Linked DNA regions of Drosophila melanogaster. The protein of the gene in region 2 interacts with the protein of the main gene of each other region in a pairwise test. Each region holds a gene or a part of one and is shown on either strand. Other genes may lie near its edges.

What was found.
Region 1: the proteins of mbm (region 2) and alpha-Man-Ia interact in a two-hybrid assay, tested with the Drosophila melanogaster proteins (one large-scale study listed by BioGRID).
Region 3: the proteins of mbm (region 2) and CG42500 interact in a two-hybrid assay, tested with the Drosophila melanogaster proteins (one large-scale study listed by BioGRID).

Annotation. Positions count from the first base shown.
Region 1 is NC_004354.4:10,303,966-10,312,836, reverse strand, and holds the start of alpha-Man-Ia (alpha-Mannosidase class I a), read left to right. Parts: upstream 1-3,729; 5' UTR 3,730-4,275; coding exon 4,276-4,944; intron 4,945-8,871. UniProt on the Drosophila melanogaster protein: Involved in the maturation of Asn-linked oligosaccharides. Progressively trim alpha-1,2-linked mannose residues from Man(9)GlcNAc(2) to produce Man(5)GlcNAc(2).
Region 2 is NT_033779.5:268,825-276,816, forward strand, and holds mbm (mushroom body miniature), read right to left. Parts: upstream 4,892-7,992; 5' UTR 4,811-4,891; coding exon 3,731-4,810; intron 3,683-3,730; coding exon 3,143-3,682; 3' UTR 3,088-3,142; downstream 1-3,087. Other genes in the region: CG3345 (uncharacterized protein), read left to right, coding at 368-565, 634-1,782, 1,837-2,490; CG11555 (uncharacterized protein), read left to right, coding at 5,162-5,827; CG17078 (uncharacterized protein), read right to left, coding at 6,123-6,427, 6,495-7,673, 7,915-7,992. UniProt on the Drosophila melanogaster protein: Required for small ribosomal subunit biogenesis in neuroblasts. Plays a role in mushroom body development.
Region 3 is NT_033777.3:14,149,569-14,156,439, reverse strand, and holds CG42500 (uncharacterized protein), read left to right. Parts: upstream 1-3,789; 5' UTR 3,790-3,887; coding exon 3,888-4,118; 3' UTR 4,119-4,229; downstream 4,230-6,871. Other genes in the region: CG31533 (uncharacterized protein), read left to right, coding at 1-1,683; CG44215 (uncharacterized protein), read left to right, coding at 2,008-2,124; Recs1, read left to right, coding at 2,681-3,475; CG14355 (uncharacterized protein), read left to right, coding at 4,641-5,146, 5,228-5,477, 5,538-6,871.

The DNA of each region.
Region 1 (8,871 bases), on a different chromosome or scaffold from region 2:
ATATATATTTTCTATTGAAACTATATACCTTTTAAAGTATAACATCTTATATAGTACTATATAAAAAGATGCATTCATATGCTCACTACATAAGGAAGTAAATAAAAATATCAAAATCTTGAAGGATATAACCCTTCAATCTCAGGCGCATAATTATAGCCAAAGTGAGTCGACTAAAAGGGTTAAAAGGGGGCAACTGTGCTGGGCAAATAGTTCCACTAATTAGAGACAGGTTGCAAGGACACGCGGATGCAGATGATGTCGCAGTTTGTTTGTTGATTTAGCCGAAGGCGGCACAACTCAGCGGGGATCGGGGGGATAAGGTGGGTTACATGTTACGGGTCACGGGATTGCAGAATGCAGAATGAGAATTTGTATTTTCCTTTCGTGTTTTTCCTTTTATTTTTTTTTTTCGGTTTTTTTTTTTTTTGCTTTTTTTCGAGCCGGTACCGAGAAGTTAACTCGATTTGTGCGGAATTTGACAGGCCGAAAAAGGAACCAAGCGAGGCCTCGCAACTTCGACTTGGCTGATCCAAGGCCACACGGGCAGCAGTAAGGAGGAGCCTTGGGATTGGATTTGGGATTTTGAATGCAGCCAAAGGAAAACATCTGCCCAGCCTGCGGGGCAAAAATGCACGGAAACAAAGCGGCAAAACAGAAGCAGGAGGAAAGGCAATGGGAAAACGAAACACCCCCCCCCCCTTCCCACCCCTCAAAAATGAACGAAAAAGGAAAAAAAAAAAATTAGAGCAAAGCGAATGCAAATGACAAAATAATGCGTTCTCGGGCAGGAAAAATGTTTTCGTGGCCAAATGGCAAACGAAACGCGAACAACAATGCTGCTGACCAAGCTCCTAAGTTCAATTTTTGGTGGCTGTAATTTAATAGTGAAATACGACTGAAACAAGTCAAATATTTATTGGAATTCAGAGGTTTTAAAGCAGCAAATTTAAGATTTTTTGGTAGATATAAATAGGTGTTCATACGCACTTGTATTAGTTATTAGTTATAAAGTAAAGTACATCAAGTATACGCACAGTTGCACCAACTATTTTTTTTGCCGCCTTTCGTCCATTTAACGTTAACGTAACAAGTTTATATTAACCAATTAGAATGTACTAAGCTAAAAAGCATGGACATCAAGTATACGCACCATAGTACCAACTATTTTATGCCGCCTTTCGGCCATTACGCATACGCAACGTTGGCTGTCTTATCCAATTTTAAATGACTCTTTGCCCAGTGAGAGTAGAAGTGTTGTTAGTGTAAAACTGGGCACAAAATGGAGCTGGGAATAAATTGCAATTTACTTGCGTAAATTTAATAAAGTTTTCACCCCACAATTTTCCGCTCTTTCCGATTTTAAACGTGCTGCTACTGCACCACGTTCCCTGTGCAACTTGTTGTAATGCAATCTGTTTGCCGTTCGCCTTGAGCCGCAATTTTATGAAAAGCTGTTGAAAATAATTAAGATGAAATGCCAAAGATTGCTGCACATCGTTCAGTTCTTATACATATATATATATATATATATATATCTTCAGATGCAGCTGCTGGCTTCTTGGTTTCTTGTGTGTATGAGTGTGGTTTTTTTCTTCTTCATTCGTGATGGATCTTGTTATTATGCAATTTACCACGCAGAAATGGCCGAAATTTATCTATGGTTGGGTATTTTGGTATCTAAAAAATTACACCTTCTCATTGTAGCCAATCTTATGGGAATTTATTCTCACTTCCTATTTAATTCACATGTACGTCTCTGTGGCTTAGAAAATCCGATTCTTCCCTTTTCCTAATCACATGTAGAGCGATTTGTCACGAATTACAACTAATTGAAATGCCTCAGCATGTTAATTGAAAATGTAATCCATTAATGCCCGAAAATGCCTTCAGTTTACCCCGTCATTTTCGACTGCGAGAAAATGTGTGTTGAGAGCCCTTTTGTTTGGGATTAATTAAGCGACAAAAGACGTAGTTTCATTAATTGAAATAAATAGCGAAAAAAAAAGTACTGAAGGAGCTGCTGTTTTCTTGTTGAACGAAACAAAAGAAAAAGTATTAAGCAGCCCAAGACGAGGAGAAGCGAAATAAATTCGTCTAGGCAACAGGCGTTAATATGCAATTAAATGAAATTTCTTCCAACTTTCTATGTATGCTCTATTTATACGTGACTGTGGGTGGCTGGGTGTGTGTGTGTGAGTGGGTGTGTGCGTGCGTGTCGGCTCAATTAAATCCGCAAAGTGTCCCCTTTTCCCCACTGAACACAAGACGCGTGTGCAGATCCCATGAAATGAATGCTTAAATCCTCGGCCAAAAAAAAAAGAAATACCCCACAAAGCCAGAAAAGCACAGAAACCAGCTGAAATATTTTAGGCGAAGGCAAATACCCTCGACTTTTTTTTTGTTATAAGTAAAATATGATAAAATCTTTACGTAAAATAAATAATATAAAATGATTACTTAGAAATACGTCAGATTTTTTGTTTGTCTGTTTTGGTTTTTTTTTCGCTTTCCATTTACTATGCTCTTTTCGTTGGTAGAGCATTTGAATTTAGAAAAAGTTGCGCATTTCTGTCAAATATTCCTTTGTTTTCTAAAGCCTTCTGGGAATAGCAGGGTATTACGTTGGCATTATGACCCACCTGGATGCCTAGAAAGTGAGAGACAAGATATTGTCAAGGTTGAATAGCTCAGGAAATATGTAGGAACGGTGGTGAAAGGAAAAAAAAAGTGAAAGGAGTGGCGAACATTCCATTAACATTTTGCCAACTGCGAATAATGAGTTAATAAAATCGATATATCACTAAAGATGTAGTTGAGAATACAATTAATATGTGCAACTTTATACATTTGATAATTTAATTGATTTTATTACCAATAAATTCAAAACGTTTAAAAATGTGTCACACGACCAAAAGCATTTGCAAATTCAATTTGCTGCGATCACTGGACGAAAATAATTGATTTTATTGCCTTTTGCCACACCTAAAAAGCAACAGCAACCGCAACTGCATAAGAACATTAAAAAATGTTAACGAGCTACACTTTTTTTTTTTTTTTGTTGTGCATTTGTGTATTTTTGGAAAAGCAAACAGCAAGCCAGGGCAAAAATAAACAACATGCTAATAAAAACCGATTGCAATAAAATAAATCACAAATCCAATTTCAAAGGTTCATAAAAATAAATACAGAATTGATATCGCTAAAAGCGTTTTAGTAAAAAAAATAACAGCAATAAGGAGAAAATGTGCACTTTAATTGGAAATAAAACAAATATTTGAATAAACAATAAACTTAAACAGAAACAAGATACAACAATAATACGCCAATCAGTACATAAAGTTTAGAAATAACAACTAAACAAATGCGAAGTACATTTTCAATGAATCTACAAAGAAATAAACAAAAAATTTACAGCAAATTCAACGAAAGCACAATACAAAAAAATAACAAGAAAAGTATTAGTATTAATCGAATTAGTTAATGAAAAAAGAAAATAACGAAAAAACGTAACGAAAATATTAAACACAATATTACATATGGAAATGCTTAACTGCTTGCGACAGCTGCGCAGCTGCGACGGCGTTAGCTAAAACTGCTTCAAGCTCTCCAGGTGAACGAGTAAGCAGTTCAGAGAGCTAAACAGTTAGAGAGCAAAGAGAGTCAGAGGGACAGTGCTAAAGAGAGGAAGTGCAGCACAGCGCTGCATTCGCATTTCAGCTGCTGAAGCGAGCAGTTCGAAATGCGCACTGAAAGGCGCGACGATCGCTAAATTAAGCAAAGACAAATGAAAATAAAGTAAAGAAAACAATATTTAGTGTGGCGCTCTCGCGAGTTGGCAACAGCCCAAAAACCAGATTACCAATATTTGTTGAAAATCTCGTGAGTTGGACACAAATAAAAATTGGAAGAAATCGTTTTTAAATATAATTGCTAAAGAAAATAAAAGAAAATTATACGACACCTTGCCAGTTGCTAATTAAACTACATAATATGGTAGAACAATAACAAAAATAAAAAAAAACAGTAAACGGACTGAAATGAAAATAGTGATACAAACCAAAACAAATCAATAATAAATCAAAAATACATAATACATTTCGCAAATAATTCCAACGAAGACTATATAAATCTAATGCGAATATCAATTGCCTTGGACAACAAATGATTAAAATCCAATTGCTTGAAAGCCTACACTTTGCTTAACTCACTGGGCGATTGATTTCCATCGCCTGCATGCGTTTCTGGCCGTAATCCCCCTCCACCAAGGTGACCATGTGCAGCCGGAAATGCTTCCGCATGCCCACCCTGGTCATCTGCGGCGTCGTACTGACCATTATCCTGGTCTGCATCACGGGCATCACGCTGACGAACAGCATCAACATATCGAATATCGTGAAGCTGCGCGAGAAGGTGGCCAGCGATTCGGCGGCGGCCAATGGGGGTCACCAGGCGGCCCAGACGCGGGCGGCTCTCGTTGAGCAGCAGTACTCCACGCTGCAGCAGCATCATCTTTCCCGCAGCGATCTCAACTATATTCAGGCGGCGACACATCCGAAGAATCTACAGCGCCAACTGCAGCAGCAGCAGCAGCAACAGTTGCAACAGCAGCAACCGAATAAGATTGTCATCGAAATTGGTCTGAGCAATGACAGCGGACCAAGCAGTGCGCCCGCAAGCAGTACACTTGGTTCAAGCAGTACCGGTCCGCGTATTCTTCAGGCGGCCGAGGCTTTGATGGAGGGTAATGTGGATTCGATTTCATTGCCAGCAGCAGCGCCGCTAACAGCAGCTACTACAAGTTCAGCTAAAAGCTTAGAAAACAGCCAAGGGAGCGATACGCCGCATAGCCATGCAAATACTACCAATGCAGATATTACAATGGGCATCGCCGATCACAATCCAGGGGGCATTCAGTTCGAGCGACGCGCCCACGTTAAACAGGTATACACTGGGCGAAAATACGAACGCTGGCAAGAGCCGGCACTTGAATTAGAAATGTAGACAATTTTCGAAATTTACTTAGATATGCATTGGGGCAACTTTTCAATAATTCTCATTGATGCAATTCGAAATTTGGGACTTTGAATGAGTAAAGTAATGCAAGTTGAATATATTTCTATTTCTTAAATATTGATATATATATATATTTGGAATTATGTTTAATCGTGTGTTCTTTACAAAACCTATACATTTATAATTCTATTTTCGTATTTTGTTTAAGCACTTGAATAAATATTTTTTTTACCTATGTACTAATTTTTCGTTTATTTATTTTATAACGTTTAGTGCCATAAATCATTGTGGTTTGGGTTCATTTCTCATTTGCCCTCTTGCCGTGTAATTTTCGCAATAACAAGAATAAACGAAAGCTGTACAATTGCGAAAATTCAATTTACGTGTTTGATTCGGCGGCGTTCGGCTCACGTTTTTCCGTTTTTCTCGCTTTTATTAGAGCTATCTGGCTAATCATTTTCCTGCATTGTCACGCTGGACGGCAAACACGAATTCGCGCTTTGGCAATCCCATTTGCCCCTCCATTTCGTCCCGCCGAGCAATGCATTTGCTTTTCATTCGATTTCCCAGCCGGAAAATTTTCATATGAGAAAGCACCGTGTGTTTGGCGTGTTATAGTTTTTTTTTCGGTTATTTTTTTTTTTTTTTTTTTTTTGGTTTCCTTGTTTATGTGCTCGTATTTTTCGGTGGGTGTTTCCCAATTAAATTTGTCACGTTTTGTTTGCTCGCCATTTGCATATATGTATAACCGAGTATACATAACAGTTGGCGTTGTTCTATAGTTTTCTATAACACTGTGATTTAATGGCTTTCGCTTATGGCTCGAAACTAGTTGGCACTAGTTCTAACCGATTTTGGGTCGTTTATCCCAAACCGGTTTTCGCTTTTCTCCAGTTTGATATTACTTAAGATTTATGCAAATGTAATATATACAACATAAAAGTTGTAACGCAAATATTATGTATTCATATTACTCAGCAAAATTGATTAATGATATATGCAATAAAATACTCATTTAAATGGCATACAACTGGCAACTGTGGTATTATTTAATAATACGGCTTAATTTCATGCTAGTAATAGAATTATGTTTTTTTTTAATCTTTTGAAAATATGAAAATTTAATTATTCGTCAACAAAACTTTAAACTTTAAAACTATTAGCGCTTTTAATTAAATACGGCTGCATTCGCCGCCAGTCAATTGCAAAGACAATATCAGCTAACAATTTTGAGCCCTTTGGGCATTACGACAATAGAGATTATAGATTACAATAATTAACATAGTTTTAATGGTGCTGGGAAATCAAATGCACATCCATATGCAAAGTAAAACTTTATTTTTGTCCCATGTATAGCAATAATAAAACAAATGACCCCCCCCCCCCCCCCCAAAACCCTTCCACTTGACTTACCCTTAGAAAATCCCATGTAAAGCTCGCGATTTCTATAATGCGATTACAAGAGGGCGAGGGGAGCTTGTAAAGTTCATGGAAAAAGTTACCACAAACGAAAGGTGAATGTGCCAAATGTCTAGTTTAAGGTATATTATCATATTTAGTTAGTTCTTAAAACTACAAACTAACTAAACAAACTACTAAACTAGCAAACCATCATTTAAGTTTGTTTCATATACAAACATAAATTAGTTAACAAATAAAGTGAGTACTAAAGTATCTGGCAGTCGGGAAAACTTAATTTGTTATTATTATTTCCCAACTAACCAACTTTGCCAGTCATATTCAGTCAAGAGGCATCACTAAGCCAATTAACTTTGCAAACTTATTCCGTGTGAAATTAATTACTTGATTTTCAATGTGCAATGTGACTTGTGTTTTTCTTTTTTGGTTTTGCCATATCATAGAAAGAGAGCAAACGTCGCTGTGCGATAGAGACAGCATGGTAAATTAAGCTGATGAATTCTATACGAGACTAGCTCATTTATTTACAAACGCTAATTTTGCTCACTTCCTTTTGTTGATGTCGATGACGGGTGAATTTAGTTGTTTGCCAGAAGAAAATATTGTTTATTGTAAATGCAATTGTGGATATGTTATGTATACAGAAAAAGGGAGTAACACCATTTCGTGTTTTATACGAAACTTAATTTCTTCGTATTTAAAATCTAAACACTTTTTCTTTTTTTGTTAACAACTTTATTAACAACTTTAAGCTGAGTAACTCCCATAGATGACTTTCGATTGGCATTGACTTTGGCTGGTTATGCACTCTATTTAATATACGCCCATTTATCATACGCAATTCTCTTTTGACCAGAAACATGAGGGCCGTAACCTCTGCCATATTCTACGTCTCCTTCCACTTTTGGTTGCAAAAGTTTTTCTTAATAATAAATTGCTTAACTTTTTAGGTAAACAAAAGCACACTTTGCTGGTGGTGGGGAGTAAGGCGCAGTTTTTGGCTTTCAACTTGCCGCAGGCTTCTCACGTGCGGGTTGCCCCAAAAAGTAAAGTGGGCGGGAGTAGTGGGAGTGGCAGTGGCAGTGGGTGGCAAGGCTGCAAGTTGGCCTGTTGTGGAAATTAAAATAATTGTAAGGGAGTTTGCGGTGCTACTTTTGTGTCCCTCGGGCGTTTGTAATTATCGCCAAGTTGAGCTAGTTTTGCCAAGTGAACTAGTTGCCCCGACTGCACAGATTCTATTTACTTGCAGAAATTATAATTTATACAGCAGGTTGGATAAAATCCGATAGATAAGATAAGTCTGTCAGATGTTAAAGAAATGCGGCAGAGTAACTCACTTGCAATGAACACCATTACGGCTGTATTACTTACTTTATATTGTTGACAAAGTGCACAGCGTTTTTGCATTTAACTCATCCCATTTGTGTGTCATGCATAATGAAAACGGAAACTAAAGTTGTGAATTATTTCTCATTGTCGCAACAATTATCGCTTATTTCCGCTTGCCCGTCAAGCGAGCACTTGCTTTCCATCTAGTGAATTTTCTTTTCATGCTGATAAAGTGTTTTTCTTTTCTTTCCTCTCGCTGATTTTTTGTTGTTTTTTTTTTGTTTTTTTGTTGCTTCCACTTTTCAACGTAATACATCTGTCATGTCTGGGAGGCCGGTCATAATTTATAACCACCAATTGCAATGCAAAGCAGCCTCTTTATATGGAAAACACGCGCCTGCCGCTCACACATACACCGATAAATTTGAGTCCTTAAACGTGGTAAAATATCAACAAAAAAAAATATGTTTCAATTATAAATAATAATTCAATTTATTCAACATTTGCAAATCAAAATGATGGGCAAAATTACTTGCTATCATTACATACATAAATCTAAGAACTAAATTCTCTAGCTTAATTGTAAATCATATCTACTCCAATTGCTTTCTCCCAGTGTACTCATGTACTTTCCGACTCTTTTACTTTCAGGTGAGTTGCGAATGAATGATTTGAGAAAACCGCTTCGCGTGTATCGTTCTGCTGCTGCTTAGCGCAATATCATGGATAAAAAGTTTTGTCCAGCCAAGAAATTGGATAGAATCCAGATGGTAAGAGACTGTGTGCAAGATGGAAGACCAGACCGAAGAAATGCTGAGTGAGAAAGTGCCGCTAACAGTTGCCAACAATTCAACAATAAGCTTCAATTTGACGCTAAAAGCAGGCAAGAGGAAAACAGGACAAGGTGATAAGGGGCATAGAGGTGGGAAGGGGGGGGGCGTGGCAGGAGTGGCAAGAGCGGAAGGGAAAGTAAAAGGTGAGGGATCTGGCATGTCTTGGGAAAAGTTTCCTGAGCTCGGACAAATGCGCAAATGACAACGCCCCAATGCTTTCAATTATCATGTCCTGTTCTAGTAAAATCCAACCACCCAGCGCCATCAACTTTCT
Region 2 (7,992 bases):
ACAGCGAAATATTGAGGAGGATAGTCAACCGAGGATTTATGTAAGCCGAACTAACGCCCTGGAATCTGCTGGAGCCAGGGTAATGACAGCTTCGATCCCGATTCGGCCTCTTAGGATGGGACCACAGATTCATGCAGATAGCTATAAAACGGTTGTTGAGACTGCTTAAGAATATATATATTTTATATTGCAAACTATTGACTAAAGTCAATATACAATCGGCAGGGAAAAAGTATAGAATATTGTTAAAGTAGGCGGGGCTACTACATTTTCATAAGGCACTGTTCGAAATTAGTTTTCTTGGAACGCTCAGAGAGTAAATGTTAAGCACAAATAATTTAGGCTACTGTAAGTTTAGAGCGACAAGATGATCGATATTTTGTCGCTGCCGCGGCGAAATAAGGTGTCCGGAAACCCGGCCCTGCTAAAGATGATCTCCTACAAGACTGGACTACCCATCAACAGTCTACCCGGATGGGAGCTGATCCCTCTTAATTGCAAGCTGCCAATGCTCAAATGTCCCGGCAATCAGGTCATATTCTCCAAGAACAAGATCGGACAGGACGTAAGTGCTACCAGTAGAAAATCAGCTAGAACCTTACTTTATCATCATCATTCATACATATCCACCAGTTCAAGAGCGGTAAACAGGAGTTTGAGTGTTCCGTTACCGAACACATCCCGGAGTACAATCCGCTACACGACTCCAACCTAAAGACGTTCTACTCCAATGAGCGTAATCTGAAGCGGTTGAGGGAAAACGGTGAGATAACGCAGGACAACGATGTAATATGCAATCTGAAGGACTTCAATCAGCATCGCCAGGAGCTGCACAAATCGCAGTTGTACTACATTTTGCAGGCATACAAGCGGCGCGAGTCGGAGCAATATGATCGAATGCTGATCGCCAACGCGGAGTCCATCACAAAAAAGGATCACCAGAATCTCGCAGCCCGTCACCAGTGCACTGAGGAGGTTCTTGCCAGAAAGAAACTACAGGAGCAGGAACGCCACGAAAGAAAGGTCCATCTGCTGAATATCACATATGAGAAGTTTAAGCGCTTAGAGAACCTGGCCACCATGCAGAATATGTTGCTGGAGCACCGCAAGATGCTGACAAACATGCGTGTAGCTGCCCACATAAGCATGTGCCAGGATTTGATGAGAAAGCTATTGATCAAACAGAAGAAGCTCTTCCAGTTCAAAAAGGATCGGTTCAACAAAAACATGCGAATCCTGAGGAAACAACGGCTGGTAAAGAACACTGAGCACCAGATTCAGTCGTGGAGGAAGCGACTTGATGAGCGAATTGCTAATCAGCGTAGGATCGAATACCTCCTGCAGGAGGTGGAAAAAGAGCGAGAGGCGTTTATAGACAGGCACAAGGCTCATTACAGAGAAAAGTGGCAACGGATTCAGGACGAGATTAAGGAAAGAGCTCAAAAGGCCATCACTGCTCGTCAGCCCAAAAGAAAGCGCCGCAAGAAGAAGAAGTCGACACTTCAGGAACGCAAGCCATCATTCTGCGATGAGTATCAGGCCACCTTTGAGGGATTGTTAGACAGTGATCTTTGTTACGCCTTGAATGCAGCCATTGCCATGGAGGGTCAGACCGCTCTCAGCTTCGCACCAGACGACCCCATCTATAAGGCGGCACAATATATACTGGACTACATAATTTCTGGTTTAAACGACGATCTCAGCGAGGATGAGTGTGCCTTGCAGGTGCTGATCTCGCGCATTAAGGATTTTGTCTGCGATGCAAAGAAATATGTGCACTACGTAAGTGTTAATAGCAGTCCCTCTTGACATACCACTAATTCATTCCGCCTGCAGAAAGCTTATCAGATCATTGGATTCGCCAGAGACCACAAAGCCATGGAAGTGCCTCCGTCGATGGCCAAACAGCCGAAAAACCACTCGCGCGCCTCCCATGTATCATTTAGCGGTGTAGCCAGCACCATTGGCGTGGGCAGCTACGAGATTCATCCGTTCGTGGACGTCCGCCCGTGCAGCGAACGTCGGGCCACTCCGGCGGGATCATTAGCCTCTCTGGTTGTCAGCCAGATCGGCGAACAGGTAATACAGGACAAGGTGCGCCTGCCGCATCTAAATCGCAACCAGATCGTGTTCATAGAGCACTACCTGGTGAAGTTTAAGCGGGATCTATTGGTGGGTCTGGACAAGCTGGTATTTGCAGCGATTCAGTGCCACTTTGAAAACCGTATGATGGAGGTACGAGAGGAGCTCCTTCTGCTTGACAGGAACTATTTGTTCGAGCAGATTGCCAGGGGTATCCTCAGCTATGCGGTTAATCCGCTCAACTATCAGTCGGTGCTTAAGCTGGCCGTGAGCGTCCAGTCGTGTGAAATCATCTGGGAGCTGCAGCAGACGATGCTCAAGCCAGGCATCGATCCCCGGGGCCAGAATCACCCAGTGTCCTGCGGCACCGAGCAGGAACGCGAGACCCTGGCTCTCTGCATACCCTAGGATCCTGTCAAGCAGACAGGGCAAGGAAAATTGATCTTAAAGCAGGATGCCTTAGCTCTGGCGGGAAGTAGCCCTAAAAATTACTTGTATATTTCGTTTCCGAGGCACTTACATACTTCAGAGTCCAGGAATATTCATTTTCAATATGATGTCCTAAATTTATGTACTATGTTTTCTTTTATCGTTTAAAATGCTTCCTTATAAATAAGTTGAGTATAACTTTAAAAATCAGACACCTGGATCCTTTAGTTAAAAACTCAAAGCTCTTGAGATTTAATCGTAGAAAACCAATAAATTTAGGTAAATACACTTACCCAAAAGTTTTTTGCAAAGTTTTTTCACTGAGTTTCATACGTTTTTCCTAGTAAACACTATTAATTTGATTTTTTATTCAAAAGCGTGGAAGCAACAGCTGGCAAAACACAAAACCAGGGCTGCGTCGGCTGATACATTTCGATAAATAGGTCTGCCCTGGTTATCGATATTATTCCCCGGTATGTATTGTACAAAAATTAATTCAACTTCATTCTCGTTTTAAACAACAGAGGCGTAATTCCTAAATTCCGTAAATATTAAAATGAAAGAACTAAATCCATTGGTATTGAAAATGTATTTATCTTTCACGTTCCTTTACAACTAACTCACGCTATAACTATTTAGAAAAATTAAACGGAGCTCTATAAGAATACATCATGGAGTTAAAAGGGGCGCCCGGGGCGCCTAGAAGGGGAAATGGAAACACTTGAGGAGGTAGACTGGCTGCGGCCGATACGGAGGCTTTGGTGCCTCGTTTCCGCTTCTGTTTGGACACAGGAGCTGGGTGAGGCTCTTCGCTGGACTCCGAGTCATCGCTCTCGCTGCTGTCATCTTCATCTTCGTCGTCATCTTCCTCGTCATCTTCTTCGTCATGATCTTTCGGCTCCACCTTCATCCTTTTCTGTGAAGACTTCTTTATCTTTTTTATTGACGCCTTTTTGTCCTTTTTGGGTTTTGCTGAAACTGGAGCTGTGACTGTGCCAGCAGGAAATCCAAATCCTTGCTCGCAATGAAAGGCAGTCATTTGCTGCATGGCAAACTCCACAAACGACTGGATGGCAATATTTAGATTGGGCGGGTTTGGACAGTTTTTGAGACCATGATAACTACCGGAGCAATTACGACATATCATCTGACACTGGAAGGAGGTGTGGCCCTGGAAGAGATTTTTTTAAATTGGGTAACATTCTTTTAAAATATTTACCTTCTTGTCGCATATGCCACACACATCCACGGTTTTACCCTTGTTTTTTTGCTTTCTGGCCTTCTTGTCGTCTTCAGGTTCGGTGCTTTCCTCCTCATCGGTAATGGTAAACTGGCGCTCCTGAGAGCCCATGCAGACAACATCCTCCTCGGTGTTCTTTTCCATCTTTTTACTCTTTGCCGGCGGATGACTCTGTTCATCATCGGTGTCGCTGTCCGAAGTTGAGGAGTCGGAGGACGAAACTGGTTTTACAGCCTTTGGTTTCGGAGTTGATGCTACAGGTGTTTTGATGGCCTTCGCTTTTGGGGACGGCACCACCACTGCCTTAGTGTTGACTACCATTTCCCCTGGTTCGGGTTCAGACTCCTCTCCCGAAGTAGATGACGACCTAGAGGAGTTAACCTTCTTCTTTTTAGGAGATTTGGGCTCCGCTTTGACAAATTGCTTTATTTTTGACTTGTGCTCCATTTCTTTCTCCTTCTTGATATTGATTAGCGGCACAGTAGGTTCTTCTGGCGTAACAGCCACATCAGGTGGTGCAACAGATACAGGTGGTGGTGGCGTCAAGTCCGCAGCGAAAGTAACAGGTGGCAGGCTCTCCTGTCTGAGAGAGGAGGGAGCAGGCGAGGATCGAGGCAGAGGTGGGTCTTCGGTAAAGTCCCCCACATTATCGAAGTACAGCATGTTACTTTGGCCAGGACTAACATGCTGATCCTTAGGTTGCCACGAGTTGTTACGGCCACCACGCCTATTGGAATCTCTGCCGCGGTTCCCTCGCCTGCCACCCCAACCACCACCTCCTCCGCCACCGCCTCTATTTCTTCGGCCCCCTCTCTTGTTTGGCTGATGATTATCCAGCTCCTGTTGGGGATCTCTGAACTTGTTAAACGCGTTTCCATTCTGCCCACCTTCCGATCCAGCGTCTGGCCAGTTTCCATTGGCGGCGCGATTTTGGCTGTGGCTGCCTCTTCCCCCGCCTCCACTGCTGCGCCTCTGCTGATTGTTGCGGCCGTAATTCGAAAACGGTTTTCTTTCCTCTCCTGAAAGGTTCCAGCCGGATTGTCCTCCACTGTTGTGCATTATGGAATTGTTAATATTTATAAAACCGCCTAGTTGCGGCGCACGTGTTGAGCCGATTGGGGTTATCGATAAGATCCGATTGTTGGTGGGACTGCCGAAGTGGCTTCTTTCAAGCCAAAACTGCTATTCATTATATGTATATTAAGTTTGAATACCTTATATATAATATAATATATATATATAATACTGTGACAATATGTGACATAATACATGTAATGGACTAAAATGTGAAGTGACCAATGGAAGGTTTTTATAAGATTTAACATATATAGCTAGATTCGATAGTTTCTCAAACTGGCACCTCAGATGGTCAGATGGACGATATTCAGTTTAACCACAAATAACAACGCTATGAATTCTACCAATCCGAAGAAAACAGAAGATAATGATCGCCATGAACGTCAATTGCAGAGCCGCACCAAGGACTGGGGCAAAACCAAGTTCAAGCCAAAGAAGTATGTCCAACCGAAACCAGCGCTCGTTCCACAAGCTACTGCGACGCCCTGGCAGCATGTGAAGAACGACATAATTACGGATTCTTCGGACCGGGGACACCAGGATGTGGACAGCGAGGACGCAAGGCAGTTCATGCAGCAGCGTCAGAAGAACCACCGTCGAAATGTCATAGAAGCCAACCGGTCGCAGGATACTACATGGGAGCCCTTCAACGATGAGAAGCCCTCCACGGAAAGAAAACAACAGCTCTCCACGGACGTTGAGAACTTCACTTTTAAGGAGCGGAACTTTTTCCGAAAGCAACTCACTTTGGGTTTCAATTTAACGAAAAAGAATGCAACACTTAAATCTGCCCTAAAGGACTTGAAATATAGACAGCTGACAAAGGACAAGTTCGAATTAGAACGTTCGAATCATACACGTCGAAATGTGAAATCATCAAATGCGAAAGAAGCAAAGGGTAGCCATCCCTTTCAGAAAATGCGAGATAATGCACATCCTTATCGAAAGAAGGGACCAAATAGGAGAAATCCGTTTCAGAAAGGGCCACATAATGAATAAGTTTAGCTTATTTTCCCTTAGGTGACTTCACAACCCCAACTGGCAAAACATGAAGTTTCAATTAAAAAATAAATAAAAGATTCTTTGTCGGGTGACAAATCAGAAATGTATACACAACATTACTACACACTTTATGCAAATCTTAAAAATAGTGGTACAAATACATGTGGAATAGGTCGGCGAAAATAAATAAACTAAACAGAGTTCGGCTCCTCCTCCGTTGGGAGGAGCAAGAGGAGATTGAAGTGGCGCTCGCTGCGCCATGGTTCCAGCCAAAAATCGTCCAAATGAAATCTCAGCCATGTACATTGGCAAGCTTGGCGATGAGGTGGTTAAACTTGCCGTTGGTGGTCACAGACTTTTTGGCCGATCGCACTTGTTCCGGCGAGTGCTGCAGAAAGTAAACGACGATAAATTCGAGTGTTTGATTGGCTTCCTTAGGGTACATCATGTTAAAGGTATAGTAGTAGCAGATTAACTGGGCCAGAATGTCCGGCAGGTCTTCGTCTTTGGCGGCGAATGTGGCCATTATCTGGCCTTCAATGTAGACCTTCGCCTCCATTTGCGATTCCACGCCGTCGGCCGTTGTTATGGGTGAATCTGTGGGAAGATAAATATTTTAAAAGTATTTAAACACTTTTAGTGATATTAATTTTTGTGTACTTACTGACTAGAGCCACCCAGGGGGCGTTTGTGGGATTCGTGCTTTGCAGTGATTCCTTGCTAAGGGAACTGTTCTCGAGGTGCTTGAAAATGTAGTCGGGATCCTCATTAAAATAGTACGCTATGCCACGCAGGAAATTAGCGTTGGTCTCGTCCAAAGAGCTGATCTTCTTGTTCTTTGAACTCTTAAAGAACCTGAAAAAGCGATCCTTTTCGGTAGCCAAGCGCTTCTCTAGAGCCCGGGGATCGATGGACATAAGCAGCTCAAAGTGCTGGTACAGCACAGCCTTGTCAAAAATATATGGCCAATTGTCCTTAATGGCCGTTATATCTGGGATCTTTTCGCTGTTATTAAAAAAGGAGCGCTGCAACGGAAAGCACTCTTTCATATATTCGATTATGACGGACTGTTCCAGTGGGGAACTGCCTCGGTAGCTGGAGATTAGTAACTCCTTTTTGTGCTCCAGATCCCTGTTAAGAGCCAGCGATTTTGCATCACCATTGGAAGCACCACCTCCGAATTTTCGTTTTTTATTAGGGATGTGGATCTCAAAGGTTCCCGAGCTGCCGCGTTTCTGGGGTTTGTTTAGGGCATTGTTACGGTTGATCATCTTGGATATGAGCGATTGCGGAGTGGTGGCTATAAACTGTCCCTCGCGGTCTTTTTCGAGTAAGGAGTCGGGGTACTTTTCAGCCGCCTGTTGGGCGACCTGCCGGAAAATCCGTATGGGAATGTGGGCGGATATTTCACGGAGAGCCTCCACCAAAACATTCGCAAGTGTATTCAACCGCTTGCCCAAACTCCCCTTTCCCTTTAGTAGTTTCATTATGTCCCCAGGCACCTTGCTCCAGGGTATCGAGAACTCCTTGAATAGAGCAGAACTCTTTGCACTTGATGGCGTTACGCTGGACAGTGACATGGTTTCGTCATTAGAGACCGTCGAATCGTTCGGGTTCGACACAATACTGTTGTTGGCATAGAAGCTGGGATCCACCGAGCTGCCGGCGCGTTCGGATCGGTTGAGGGGCGATGGCGGAGGAAGCACCACATACTCCTCCGACTCGGCGAGGAGCATCAACAGAATCTTCTCCTTGGCAGCGAACAAGAGCACGTCGTCCTCGCAGATCTCGCAGCCGTTGCTCTCCAGGACAATTGTGTTGCCGCACAGGCCGTATTTGTGAGCTACCGAATACAAATATATTATTGATATAAATTAAATAAAATATGTACAATTATTTAATTTCTATCCTAGATAAATATATCACCCATTGATCAAATTTATATTTTTAAATGCAGAAATGCTCTAAGCTTAAACCCAATAGATTCTTATTAAAGACTGTCTACTGGTTAATAACTTCCAACTGGGCAACGTTCATTCGGAATACTGGATGAATAGATACCCAATTCGTCGGACGTTCCTTACCTTTGTCGATTACATCCTTTCGAGTGGGCAACGACATGAAGGTCTTCTTGATCTTGCGATCGGCGCTGCATATGGTAA
Region 3 (6,871 bases), on a different chromosome or scaffold from region 2:
GTCATAACTCCATTTTACACACCGCGGTCTCTAAGTCTTGCTCCCGTGAAATCTGGCATACCTGTTTCTGTTAGATCCGACTTATTACATGGCGTGAAACCTATACGGTTCTGTCCTGTCTGCTTGTGCTCCATGTCGTGGATGCCAAAATATGCACCATGCCCTCAATGCAATACTAAAGCAGTTCCCATACTCCAAGGACATCCGATCGAGAATATTACGGCAGAAGAAATTTTGGCTGAACAACTAGTAAAACCAAAAGCACCGCCCGGAGTCGAGGACTTTTGTGAGCCACCATGCGAAAAGGTGCGCCGGAAGATCTGGAACGATACCGAGTGCCCACCATGCCGTTGTACATGCTCTAAGGGTAATACCTGCCCCCACTGCCGAATCCGCAAGATGTGCGATGACATTTTTACCGCCAAGAGTCCACCAAAACCTCCCCGCCGAATTCCGAAGCCCCGGTCAAGTGAGGATTTCTGTGTGGTCATGGAATCTGAGGGGGAAGATGATCTTCCCTACCTGGCGAAGGTATTTTCCGAGCTAAAGAATCTGTACCATATCCACGACACCAAGAAGCTTTCAGCTATTAAGGAACGCTGCGCATCTCAGTCCTTGTTCACTATCCGCAGCAGGCGATCCATCAAGGAGCTGACCAAATCGCTATACCCAGGAGACAAAATACTTGACGGAAGAAGCCATCATCCAAAGGCTGGCCACAAAAACTGCATTTCGTCCTCAAGCATTGTGTCTCGTCGCCATGGTTGGAACTGGACAAAAAGTTGCGAGGCACGGAAGAATGGCTGGCGGCCAGGTGCCATCCTACGATCCTCTGGCCATGTGATGCGTCACTTCCTGATGCGAAGTAGAGATCCGAATATGTGCGGCAAGGTAACAGCTGATTACGAGGAACAGAAACGATTTGGCCATCCCGTGCTCAATATTTGCAAGCGAAATGGTAATATATTCGTAACCCTTCGTCCACTGCCCACTTTGGGTATGAAACAGAAACCCATAACGTTCCGGATCGTCAAGAGCGATATGGCGGTGGCACTGCGCCAGATCAAGCGTGCTCTCAAGGATCAGGGCTTCGAGAAGTGCAAGTGCCACCAGTCCCTGATGATGTGCACCTGTCGCGATGCCTTGGATAAATTTCACCTGAATAAGGCTCTCAAGAAAGAGTGCCAGAAGCGTTTTATAGAGCCATGTCCCGACCACTTGGTGCTTACCGACACAAGTGAGAGCGATTTGGAGTTCGATCTGGATGTGACTCCGCCGGCGGGAACTCGTAGACCGAAGCGCAAAGCCCTTAGGAACGTGGTGAATCATAGCACCCAGACTGCAATGAAGGAGCCACCAGTTATACCGCCTCCATATCCAGTAGCCCACAATCACTTCTATAGGGCCTACGATTGCGCAGCAGGAGATCGGTATATGGGCACAGCCTTCGGCGATAATATAGAGACCGTTTTCGAGGATGGAGTCTTTGGATACCGGGGTGGTGGCCAGCATGGAAAGCCCGTAATCTGGCGACACCCGAAGGTGTGGGGCAAGAAGGCCCAGGCACCACTCCCGATTGGAACCGCTAGGAACGCCATCGATCCTTACCGGTATACCAAAAATGTTTGGAAAGAACTGCCGCGAAAGATAATACAAAAAATGAGAGCAAAATCAAGGAAATAATTGTATTCTTTTATTAAAAGTCAAAATGTAATAAGCGTGTTTTATTTCTCTTAAGCTACAATGGCAGCCGTTTGGAATTATAGGAATTAGTATAATAGTATTATAAATAATTTTATTTTATATTAGGGAGCACATTTTTTGTGATTGTTAATGACGCAATCCAACTTGTTTTCAAAGTATTGCTAAAATTCTATTAATACGAGCATAAGAATTTGATTAAATATGCTAATTATATAGAAATTATAAACTGGTCTCAATCGACTGCAAACGGTAGTATAAAAGCGCCATGCCAACTGTTAGACTGTATTCATTAAAGTTACCAAAATGAAGATCTTCGCTCTGTGCGCCTTTTTGCTCCTCATCCTGGCTGCCGTCCAGGCCAATAGTTCTCCTGAGACCAGTGCGATCTCTGAAGGGAACCTTAAGAAAACTGCTGGATAATTTATAATTTCACGAAAGCTACTTGAATATTGGAATAAATATTCTATTTAGCAGCAGAATTTGTTGTATTTATTTGTATGCCCTTGCAGAGGGTATAATGATTTCAGACAGAAGTTTGCAACGCACTAAGGGGTACATTTGCAACCATTTAAAATATGTATAAATAATAAGTATTAACAGCAGAGTGTATATAGCCATATAGTCATTTAGTTATCCGTAAGTCCGTTTTTGCTCAAATTAGTCACATATTTAAATCTTTACATAAAATTGTTGTTTGAATTTAATAAATACGCATTACTGCAAATGTATATAAGACGGAAGACAGTATTGGATATATATTATTATAATATTATAATATTGTGAATTTTCGAATTCTAAAGAAATGAAGTTAAAGTTATGTTTATGATAGTTACTAATTATGAAAAGAAGATTTATAGTTTCTAAGAAGTAAATTCCATTTAACGTTGACTCTTCTGTCATACTATACTTCAATTTCCGACAAAGGTTATTAAATTAAGAATTAGCAGTTACTTGAAAGTTGTGTTCGAAGGACACAATGCTGGATATTTTACAAGAACCAGTACATCAGTATGGAAATCGGAGCCACCAGGCGGAGTGTATTCCGCTGGGAAGATATACAGCTTACGGATCGGAAATCGGACAGGATGATCCAGACAAGGGCTTGGGATTCTGCAGCGCCAGCATCCGGCGAGGATTCATCCGGAAGGTGTACCTCATCCTGTTGGCCCAACTGATCACTTCCCTGGTGGTTATAGTTTCACTTACTGCTGATAAACGGGTGCGTCTGATGGTGGCAGAAAGCACCTGGATATTTGTGGTGGCCATACTAATAGTGGTCTTCTCTCTGGTGGCTCTGGGCTGCAATGAGGATCTGCGTCGTCAGACCCCAGCTAACTTCATCTTCCTATCTGCCTTCACGATAGCCGAGTCCTTTCTGCTGGGCGTGGCAGCCTGTCGTTATGCCCCAATGGAGATTTTCATGGCCGTGCTAATCACGGCGTCAGTTTGCCTTGGACTCACCCTTTTTGCTCTGCAGACGCGTTACGACTTTACCGTCATGGGTGGCCTCCTGGTGAGCTGCCTGATAATACTGCTCTTCTTTGGAATTGTGACCATCTTCGTGGGCGGACATATGGTCACCACCATATATGCCTCATTGAGCGCTCTGCTCTTCTCCGTTTATTTAGTTTACGATACACAATTGATGATGGGAGGCAAGCATAGGTACTCCATTAGTCCCGAGGAGTACATATTCGCTGCCCTAAATATTTACATGGATGTAATGAACATATTCCTGGACATTTTGCAATTAATCGGAGGATCCGATTAGTTGCATGAAATCTCACAAACACACAGATTATTTTACATCTGCAATTCGACGTCGAGTATTAATAAATCAAATTCAGCAGCAAGCCTATTTTACATTTACTTAAAAGCCTAAATATAGGCTTTAAAAATTTGGATATTTTTTATACAAAGCACAGTTGCCATAAATAATATAATTAAACTTGTTTGCACAAACAAATGCAGAAATAACAAGAATGACCGGTATTCAATGATCGCACCTGTTCATAATCGCTAATTAACGGGCAACCTATATATTGAAATACATTTCGTATAATTTAGTGTTTTGTGACCCAAAAAATAACGAAAAATTATAAAAAAAAAGATAACTGTAAACGGTTACGATATTAGGTATATAAGATCTTCCAGCACCTCAAAGTGTATCAAATTTTGAAACGATGAAGTTCTTTGCTCTGTGTGCCTTCCTCCTCATTGCCCTGGCTACCGTCCAGGCAACTCCCGGTGATCTGCGCCATGTTCCTGTAGGACACGGAGGACACCCAGTCAATGCTGGCCACGGACCTGTGGGACACGCTGGTCCTGTTGGACACGGTCCAGTTGTAGGCCATGGTCCAGTTGTAGGCCATGGTCCAGTTGTGGGACATGGTGTTCATGGTCATTCTGGCTGAAAACTTATCTGAATCCTACAAGGAGCGCAATGCAGACCTTGATGGAAAGAAACGAAGTGTTTGTTCAACACCTTCAGTACAGCATATCCTAATAAAATATTCGATTTATCGAAAACATATTGTGATTTTAAGATTTGGGGAAACAACAGAAAACCAGTTCAGCATTTAGAGGGCTTGCCGCAGATTTTGCATTGAGAACGTTGTTCAGAAAGATAAGCAAATGGAATCGAATAACTGGAAGTACTCATTATGAATTCCAAAAGTAAACGAAACATGCCTTGATCTCTGTCATAAGTGTTTGGTAGTCATTTTGCATTTGAAACTGGTCAGAGTTGGGCTTGTTTTTATATTCAGAACACTGTCTACCTCAGTTTTATTGTAAAGTTTAGTGTAGTAAGTCGTAAGATACTATTTCAAAAATCTAAAGTAAAAAAAAATCATTATAATTGGAACATTAATGACTCAGACTAGTTCCTCCATAAAAGAAAGCCCAGACAGACAGTAGAAATTTAAGATATCGAGATGGGACCCAAAAAGAAGTCCGTTGCTGTAGCTATTGCAGAAACTAAACCAGAAGACCAACCACCACCTGAAAAGGTGAAGCCAAAGAAAGAGCCCATCCCCGTTTTCGTATTCGATGTTATAGTCACCCATTTGGAGGCCAAAAATACCGAGTTCACCAATCCATCGAAGCTAGAAGTCACAGCAAACTTCTTCAAAACTCCACTTCTCCTCACCAATAGTCAGATAAATGTTAGCGATTTCAAGGCGAATGCCGGTCTCTCCCTTCAAAAGGATCCAAAGGAAATTCGTAAGACAGTTAACGATTGTGGGATATCCTTCAGCGTGGTGTACAGCAAGAAGGTGATTGGCTCCGGGCAGGCATCGTTCCCCTCCAGCGTAGTGGACTCCATAGAAAAGGACATGACCGATATTCTTCACTCGGACGTCATTGATTTGGCTGCAGGCGGCGAGGTGACCGGCAAACTGGAGTTCCTTTGCCGGTTGGTCGTCATGTGCATTGCTGAGTAAGTAATTCGAAATGGTCACGTGCATACATGTTTGTTGCTAAGTATTCCAGTTAATTTTATATTTGTTTACCCTTTCAGTGAGCCTGAGCTCGAGTGCGCCCGTAACATGGACAGGAGCATCAATGCACAGGATATTATGTTCGTAATGGGTGAATCGCAGGTGTGTCCCAGTGCCTGTGAACCCTGTCAAAATGATTTGGAAGCGGAGGAAGGCGACGAGCGGCTCAGACTGGACCTGGAACGATATCGCAGCCAGGGTGGTGGTATAAAGCCATACAATATGATGACGAACAACGCATCTGGGATACCAGCGTGTTGTGAACTTAAGGTTACTAAAAATACATTATTTTCCTAATATTATTATATTATTTTACAATTTTAAATTCAGAAAATGGCAATCGAGTACGAGCGGATGATTGATTCCATCACCAAACAGACCGGCATGCCGCCTCCCAAGCCTCCGTGTCGTAGTCCCGACGAGGCGAACAACTTTGGCATGAACCCCTGTTGGTGCCAACCTGAACTTCCTCAATTTCTTGAGCTGCCCGAGAAACCGGACAAGCCATGCTTCGTTTACCTGCCCGCCACCCAAGATCACGAGCCGGACTTCTGCGAGAAGAACCTAATGCCGGTTCCCATTGCGGACTGCGATGGACAGAAGCCGGAAATCAAGCCCATCCGCTTTTGTCCGGTCTGCCTGACCAATATGTCGTGGCTGCCGAAGTTTGCAGCGTGTCCGAAGTGTGGAATCAAACCGATGCCCGTGGTGGAGGATAGGCACAAGGAGAAGAAGGTATCGGCCGACCAGATCCTGCTCGAGTACTTGGGCAAAGGACCATCCACTGTGGATGACTACTGCACGGATCCGTGTGAAAAGGCCAAAAAAGATAGAGCCGACGATGATGAGTGTCCACCATGCCGTTGCAGCTGCAAGTTCGGTAAAATGTGTGCCCACTGTCGCATCCGAAAGATGTGCGCCGATATATTTAAGAGCGATCAGGTGACTCCCAAGTGTCCAAAAGTGGAGCCAAAGGAATCGGAGGACTACTGTGTGGTAAACAAAAGCTCCGAGGACTGTCGACCCTATTTGGCCAAAGTTTTCTCCGAGTTGCGCGATCTCTACGATATCAAGGACACCAAGAAGTTATCCGAACTGGACGAGAACTGCGATCGAGCGGTGCCCAAAACGGAGAAGCCTGAGAAACAAGAACCCAAAAAGGAGAACCAAGCTCCCAAGAAACCACCTTATATACCACCTAACAACAAGGGTCATATTTCCAGCAGACACAAGCGATGTGTCCTTCGATCGGGATTTGTGTCCCGACAACATGGTTGGGCCTGGAGCAACAGCTGGGAGGCCAAAAAGCTGGGCTGGCGTCCGGGTGCCATCCGTAAGCCCATCAAGAAACTGATGAAGTTCTTCCTGGAGCAACCTGCCAGAGAGAATGCATTTGCCAAATGCAAGGACACGGAGACTTTGGAGCGAGAAAAGGAGCTGGCCTCACCGGTGTTGAATATCTGCAAGAAGAACGGAGAGATCTTCATCACCCTGCGTCCTCTTTCTCCCTTGGGTATGCGCCAGAAACCCATCACTTTCCGGATTGTGAAGAGCGAAATGGCAGTGGCCCTGCGTGAGATCAAGAGAAAACTGAAGGATAAGGGATTCCGCAAGTGCACCTGTCACCAGACATTGATGATGTGCCGTTGCAGGGATCCCACCGA